2 linked regions of the Coturnix japonica genome follow. The protein of the gene in region 1 interacts with the protein of each later gene in a biochemical or structural test. Links are inferred from orthologs where the notes say so. Each region holds a gene or a part of one and is shown on either strand. Other genes may lie near its edges. The genes, in order: CARD9 and TRIM62.

The links.
Region 2: of the proteins of CARD9 (region 1) and TRIM62, one has a biochemical effect on the other in vitro, tested with the Homo sapiens proteins (4 studies listed by BioGRID, with this or other methods). The link is inferred for Coturnix japonica from reciprocal best matches to the Homo sapiens genes CARD9 and TRIM62.

Annotation. Positions count from the first base shown.
Region 1 is NC_029532.1:6,407,803-6,410,795, forward strand, and holds the end of CARD9 (caspase recruitment domain-containing protein 9), read left to right. Parts: exon of another isoform or gene 1-206; coding exon 207-252; exon of another isoform or gene 253-1,390; coding exon 1,391-1,461; exon of another isoform or gene 1,462-1,937; coding exon 1,938-2,020; intron 2,021-2,125; exon of another isoform or gene 2,126-2,147; coding exon 2,148-2,244; 3' UTR 2,245-2,296; downstream 2,297-2,993. Other genes in the region: DNLZ (DNL-type zinc finger protein), read left to right, coding at 2,319-2,546, 2,612-2,751. UniProt on the Homo sapiens protein: Adapter protein that plays a key role in innate immune response against fungi by forming signaling complexes downstream of C-type lectin receptors.
Region 2 is NC_029536.1:5,670,823-5,675,422, reverse strand, and holds the start of TRIM62 (E3 ubiquitin-protein ligase TRIM62), read right to left. Parts: upstream 2,997-4,600; 5' UTR 2,916-2,996; intron 2,345-2,915; 5' UTR 2,318-2,344; coding exon 1,910-2,317; intron 1,214-1,909; coding exon 1,118-1,213; intron 1,017-1,117; coding exon 760-1,016; intron 693-759; coding exon 577-692; intron 496-576; coding exon 1-495. UniProt on the Homo sapiens protein: E3 ubiquitin ligase that plays a role in antifungal immunity by mediating 'Lys-27'-linked ubiquitination of CARD9 downstream of C-type lectin receptors; leading to CARD9 activation, followed by activation of NF-kappa-B and MAP kinase p38 pathways.

The sequences.
Region 1 (2,993 bases):
AATGAGCCCATAGTCATGGAGGATAAGTCTGTGTGTAGATACACAGCTTCTAGTTCAGAATGTTTCCTGTTTTGCTTACAGCAAGATGCAGTGGGGGAAGGTCGGTTATATGCCTGTGTCCTGTGTTCCTGCATTTGTTCCTAGCTATTGTCTGAGAAAGAATATGGAGTACTTCTCATGATCTTAATTTGTTTGTGTCCCAATAGCTTACTCTTCATGCTCACCTAGATGAAGATACACACCTGACTGAAAGTAAGGTTTCTACTGGGGAAAACATACAGCATGGTTCTTGATGGGGTTTCCCAGTGTTCAGAGGGACAGGAACAGACACTTTTAGTGCAGAAGAGGAATCCACTGACTGAGGGTTTGGTCATTTGGGTGAAATAGGAGCAGGGTATGAGAGTTCGTGGAATTAAATGAGACATTTGAGCACTGCCTTCTGAATTGGGCCAGCCAAAATCACCTGGTACACAATGCCTTCAAAAAGCAGCTCCTGGATGCCTCTTCTTCACACAGTCCTCTCGTGTTTGTGGCTGAGCTGAGAATGGAACAAGCATCCTTCCACTCCAGCTCAACCACATGTCTTTCCCCAGAGACATTTCTTTCCTCTCTCTTATGTTGCAGGCTATTTTCACAAAAGCAGAACCATGTAATTAACACTGTCCCTGGTTCAGTTCTTGTGGCAGCCCCAGTGGAAATGATTCAGCAGCACAGAGAAGAGCAAACAGGGTCCTTTAAAGCTTGAGATTCTCCTTTGAAACATGTTCCAAAAGGAAGGAATCAAGCAGAGATCCTCACCTGAAAGAATTAAGCAATCATTCTCTGAGATGGGAGACTTTTCACAGCAGCTGCCACACTGAAACAAAGCCTTTTCTTACCCTACCTCAGCCAAATCAGAATGACATATCACAGTATCTGATCACTGCATTAGGAGTTGAGCTAAAATACGATCTGTTGAGTATCTGAATGTGCACATCTTCCCTGTGGCCCAACACCAACAAACTGTGATTCATGTTTAGTGGGATTTCTTCTTGTTATCTCCATCATTATTCTTTCAGTGACATTAGGCAGAGGTGCTGCTCTGCACTGGTTCATTTTGCTTCTCCACAAGCAGAAATTAGACAGATGGTGTCTGGTGATCCTATGGGGAATTCCATCCAGTCTAAACAAGACTCAGAGGTCACGCAGAATGAGCAGGGTCTTGTGCAATGGTCACAAGATTGAATACTGAATGTTTCAAGGCCTGGGTTTGGCTTGCTGTGGATGCTGTATACTGCTGGGCAGCTCTTACATGACAGCTATTGCCGTGTGATGAACTGGTGGAAGGAGAAGTTACTTCAACATGGCAGCTGTGACTGAGATTGTGATTTGCTTTTCTGTTTTCTCTCAGAAGAATGCTGCAAAGGCGAAAACCAGCAGTTCAGCAATGGAGAAAGCAATCTGCCTGCAGAGTTGCCCACTGTAAGAGCCCACAATGATTCTCTTTGGTCTGAATGGGGTTTGTAATTACTCATGTGCTTGTTAACAATGGATTTATCACAGAATGACCAGGGTTGGAAGGGACCTCAAGGATCACGTAGTTCCAACCCCCCTGCCTAGCAGGGCCACCAAACACACACATTTACTAGATTTAGCAGGCTTCAGGCCCAAGCAGATGCAATGCAGGCTCTACACACATCCCAGGGGCTGGGCTATGGTAGCAACCAGCTCTTCTTAATCATTTTAAGGCACAAGTTTCCATTTTCTCCTCTTAATTTCTTGGAAATAGATTCAGGGCTGCAAACAAACCCAAGATGGGCTCATCATGTAGAGCACCTCAGCCTTGAAGGGCTCCATCTTTACACAGCAGCCGTGTCTAGTGTGATAATAACATTGATCCAAGGCTTTAGAGCAACTTGCTTTGAGGTTTAGAGCAACTTTGCCTTGTTCCATTCCAGTTCGAGGAGTGCAGCTCTGCCCACGAGGAGCTGTCTGAGAAGGAGAGGAGGAGGATGAAGGATTGCTTTGAGCGTTACCGCAGGTCGGGCCCCATTTCCATCCCATTCCCATCCCATTTCCATCCTATTTCCACCCCGTTCCCGTCCCGTTCCCGTCCCTATCCCACACTCGGTTCCATAGGCCTCACTTCCATTCGGTCCCGTTACCAGGAAGCGCGCCCTCCGCAGAGCCCCCGCAGGCCGCCGCCATGAAGCCGACTGGGAGCCCAGCACCGGCAGCGACAACACGGACACGGAGGGCAGCTAGAGCTGGGCCGAACGTCCCGTTACCGGCCCCGTCAATAAACACTGAGCGCTCACAGCGGTGCCGTTACCGTCGGGATGGGGGAGGCGGCCTATGTGGGGCCGACCGCGCAGCCTCAGCGCCGCCTCTTGTGCGCCTGCGCGGCCGCCATGTTGAGGCGCTTGGTGCGGGTGGCAGCGCGGGCCGCGCTCGGCTCCTCAGCGCCTCCACAGCGGCGGCCATTGCCCCGCAGTGTGTGCACCGCACCGCCGGGCAGCGTGGGGCGGCTGCAGCCATCGCATTACCGCCTGGTGTACACCTGCAAGGTGCGGGGATGGGGAGGGGAGCGTCTCCGACGGTCGGTGTTGTGTTGCTAACCCGTGCCTTGCAGGTGTGCCGGCGCCGCTCGGCTCAGAACATCTCCCGCTTGGCCTACAGCCGAGGAGTCGTCATCGTTACGTGCCCAGGGTGTCACAACCATCATATAATCGCTGATAACCTGGGCTGGTTCTCCGACCTGCAGGGCAAGAGGTGCGTGTGTGTGTGGGGGGTGTGTCACATCATCGGCACATCGCCCTTTAAATACGAGGTTTTGCAGTAGCTGTCAAAGCATTCTTACTCCCAGGAGGGGAGTAAACTCTTGGAAAGGGCTGACAATAGCAGGACACGGGGAAATGGTTTTAAGTTAAAAGAGGAAAGATTTAGGTTGGGTGTTAGGGGGAAGTTCTTCACTAGGAGAGTGGTTAGGCCCTGGAACAGGCTGCCCAGGGAGG
Region 2 (4,600 bases), on another chromosome or scaffold:
TCTGCCCGGGGCTGAAATAGGAGCACAGCTTCCCCGGGAACTTCTCCCGGAAGGTGTAGAGCCAGGACATGTCGTCGGCATTGTAGAAGATGAGCAGCCCCTTGTCATAGTCCAGGAAGACGCCCACTTTCTCCAGCTTGCTCTTGACGTTGAGCCGCGTCCAGGGCTCGGTGCAGGCGCTGTATTGGTTCCCGTCGTGCATGACGATGCAGTAGAAGCCCCGACTGGGCTGGATCTGGATGCTGCCCTTGCGGGTGACGGCCTCGTGTGCCAACCCGATCATCCACTGCGTCTTCTCGGACACCACCACCTCCCAGTAGTGCACTCCGCCGCCGAACGCCTGCGTGCCCAGCACCGACACCTCCACGTCAAAGCGGCGCGGCGAGTCCTGCAGCGGCTGCGGGTGCAGGTTGCCGTAGGCCACGATGGTGCAGTCGTCAGAGAGGATGAGGCGCTGGTGGGCCGTGCCGGGGTCCAGCGTCAATGCAGCGGGCACTGCAGAAGGGTGGGTGTCAGTAACCCCAGCACAGGGGGCACCACGTCCCCCTCCCGCCTCCCTGCCAGTCTCATGCTTACCGGGGTGGATGTCCTGGAAGAGCGACTTCCAGATGGTGTACTGCAGCGGCCCCATGTACTTGGAGGTGGGGAAGTCCTCGTAGGTCAGGTTGGTCTCATGGATCTTCCCCTTCAACCTGCAGGACGGGCAGCGATGGGCACAGAGCTCCACGGGCAGCCCCCAGCCCCTCTGCGCCCACCCACCTCTCAGACAGAGATGCAACACCAGCCAGGAAGGCATGTTTGTCGGCCTCAGCCAGACGCTCCTGCAGGATCTGGCTGCCCTCCTGCACCTTGCGCAGCTGCTGGCTGTAGCGCTGGATCTTCTGCTCGATGTCGGTCAGCGTCCGCGCTGTGTCGGCCTCCAGCTCCTCCAGCATCGCCTTCTGCCGTTCCCGCAGCAGACGGTGCAGCCGCTCGAAGGCCTCCGCGATGGTGGCCCTCAGGCTTTTGGCTGAGGACTGAGGAGGTGTGGGGCAGGGCCAGGCCACAGCGGGACCATCAGCATCCTGGCAGAGCGCACGGGGAGGGGACACGGGGAGGGATTCAGCCTTGCTCCTACCTTGGTGTCAGCCAGCTGCCTCTTGAGGAGGTGCAGAGCCTCGGTGTGGCCTCGCTCGCTCTCCTGCAGACCCTGCAGCTGCTCCTTCAGCTCCCGCTGCAACACAGAGTGCTCTGACCCCGTGCTCAGCCCCGGCCTCGCTGCACTGCCCATTTCCCCACCCCACAGCAGCAATGTTCCACGGGGGTGTGGGGAAAGTGCATAGCTTTGTGCCTGCCCCACGTTCAGGCTGTGCTCCCAGCCACCAGCAGCACGACACTGAAGTGCTGGGAGAGCTGTGAGGCAGACCCATAGATATCTATCGTGAGTCTAAGCTGACACTGTGGTGATCGGAGCCCAAGAGGGTCAGTCCATGGCACAAAGCTGCCCTGGCACAGCAAGTCTGGGGATGAGACTTGGTGCTATTGTGGGAGGTGGGGTCCGGTGTGGGGCAGGAGAGGGTCTGTCTTGGGGTTGCTTGGGGATCCCCAGGGAGCAGCCCAGCAGAGCCACACACAGATGGAGGAACAGACAAATGGGTGGGTGGGTGGGTGACCACACAGTGCGGATGGACAGATAGACAGAGGATCGCACTCCGCTTGTTGGGATAGACAAGGGGATTGCATGGGCAGCAGCACCCCAGAGCCACGTGCAAACAGGCAGAGGGAGCTCTGGCTGTCCTGAATGTGGACAGATGGACACTGTGCTGCACGGTGCACACAGCTGGATGAACAGAACATCCCACAGACACCACAACCCCGGGAGTGAGGGGGGGATGGAAGTTCAGGGACAAACAGACAGACAGATGCCCACCTGCAGCTCATCGAAGGCATCATCCACATTGGTGACCTGGTGCTGCTCGTGCACAGCCGGCTCATCGCAGAAGAAGCAGACAACGGTGCGGTCGGTGAGGCAGAAGAGCTTCACCTTCTCATGGTCCTTGCAGGGGAAGGGGCTGCGCTGAGCCCCCAGGATGGCATCCAGGGGGAAGGCGCTGTAGCGCTCCACGATGTTGGCCAGTTTCAGGCTGGGGGCCAACGTGGGCTCTGTGAAGGTGCGGCGGCACTCGGGGCAGTCACGGGTGCCCTGAGGCTCCTGGCGCACCCAGTGCTCCGTGATGCAGCGACGGCAGAAGTAGTGCTCACAGCCGAAGCTCACCGGGTCCTGGTAGATGCTGAGGCAGATGGAGCACAGCAGCTCATCCTTCAGGCTGCAGGCCATGGCTGGGGCTGCAGTGGGACGGCTGGGCTGCAAAATAGGGGGGGATGAAGGGGTGAGAGTGCGGGAAAAGGGGACAGGATGAGAATGGGGGGCTGCAGCGGGGCTGTAATGAGGCGAGGCTGTAATATGGGGGTCAGGTTGGTAAGGGGGTGGGGGGTCAAGGTGATACGAGGGGGCTATGGGGAAGGATGTAATAGGGGGACTGGGTGTCAGGGGATATGGGGGGGCTGAAGTAGATGTGGGTGATGCTGGGGATGAGGAGGATATAGCTGGGGACTCTGGTTGGTATTAGAGATGCTGGGGGTCGAGATGATAAGTGGGGGCGTGGGTCAGGGTGATATGGGGGTGATGGTGGGGGCAGTGAAGGTGGGCAGCAGGGCGGTACGGGGTTGGTGCTGCTGGGGGTCGGGATGCAATGGGTGGGCTGGGGTCGGGCCATAGGGAGGACTCGTGCTGCGGCGCAGGCCCGGAGCTGCCGCTACCCGCGGGGCTGCAGCGGGGGCACCCGGCGCTGAGGCCGCTCCCGACGGACACGGGTTCGAATCCCGCCCGCAGCTCCGCGCCCCGCCGCGCTCGGGACCCGGGTTCGAGGCCTCACCCGCCGCCGCCGCCTCTGCCCGTTGCCGTGCCCGGGGAAGCGGCCCCGCCGCCGCCGCACACACCGCGCCCCGCCGCGCCGGGCGGGGGGTGGGCGAGGAGCGGGGGGCGGGGCCAGGCCGCACTTCCTGCCTCCCCCCGCCCCGCGCACACAGTGGTACCGCCCCGCCCCATTGTCCCCCGCGCGGCGCGGCCCTGCGGCGCGTACCACCACACGGCGGGGGGGGCCTTAAAGGGGCCGCGCCACATCCCGCCTCCATCTGGACCGTGTTGTTATCTCTGACAAGGGGCGCGGGGGGGGCGGGCACACACAGTGATGGGGATGTAGGGCGGCATCTAACAGCACAGGGATCACCCTGCACACACACACATTCAGTGCTGAGCCCCAGTTCAGCATTGTCCTCGCATTCAGCGTTGTCCCCAAGTTCACTATTGCCCCCAACCCGAAGCGGTGTTTCCAAATCCAACACTGGCACCAAGTTCTGCATCGCCTCCAAATCCAGCCCTGCCCCCGAGCAGAACCAATGTCCCCAATGCAGCTCCGATCTTACACCAAAACATCCCCCCCCCCCCCAAGTTGAGCATCACCCCTAAACACAGCGACAGCCCCCAATTCACCGTCCCCAGACAATGACAGAGACCCCCACGGAGGCACAATGGGAAGAGTTGGGGGTGGGTTCCCCGTCCTGTGCCCCCCACCCTGTGCAGGAGGAAGGATGGGGACGTTTGGGGGCAGCACGCAGCCCCACGGCTGGCTGGGAGCCAACGCAAACATGGCAGCGCTCAGCCCCCCCGCCCCCACCCCACGCAGGGAATGACCGCCCGCTTTGTTCCTGCCCAGGCAGGAGGACGGCCCCGAAGGCTGGAAAAGGAGGGGGGAAAATAAGCCCCGACCAACGGGGGTTTGTTATTTCTGCCCGTGTTTCTGCCGGAGGAATGCGGGGCTGCTCGCCCTGCCAGGACCTGCTGGGGACCGGGGAAAGTTGGAATTCAATCGTCAGAACGCCAGCTGAGCGGGGAAGGGGCGGCACGGCACGGCTGGCATCATCATCATCATCATCATCATCAACAACAACACACATAACCCCAACCTCAACCCCAACGTGAGCCCCAACTCTACCCCAACCCAAACCCAGTTATTCAGATCTCAATCCTAACCCCAACCTGAAGCCAAGCTCTTATCCTAACTTCAGCCCTACCCCAATCCTCAGCCCCTGTGCTGTGATACCAACCCCAGTCCTTACCCCAAACTCAACCCTAATCCTGACCCTAAATCCAAGCCAAATCCAACCCCTCACCCTAACCCAAACCCCAATCCTTACCTTAAGCCCAACCCTAACCCCATCCCTCAAACCCAACACTCACTCCACCTCCTCAACCTGAATCCCAACCCCATCTTTAACCCAAACCCCAATTTGCACTGACTGGTGTGGGCTGGACCCAGCAGCAGCACTGTGGGTTTGGGGCTGGACTTGGGTGTCCCACACTTCCCCTGTCCTCTATCTTCCCATGACTCAGTTTTCCCCCTTAGCAATGGGTTAAGTGTTAGAGTATGGGTCAGGACTGGTTAGGGATAGAGCTGATCAGGTTGGTTAGGGTTTACTTTCAGGTTAGGGTTACAGTTAGGGTTAGGGTTACAGCTAGAGTGAGGGTTGGGGTTAGGGTTGTGTTAGACTGTGTTAGAGT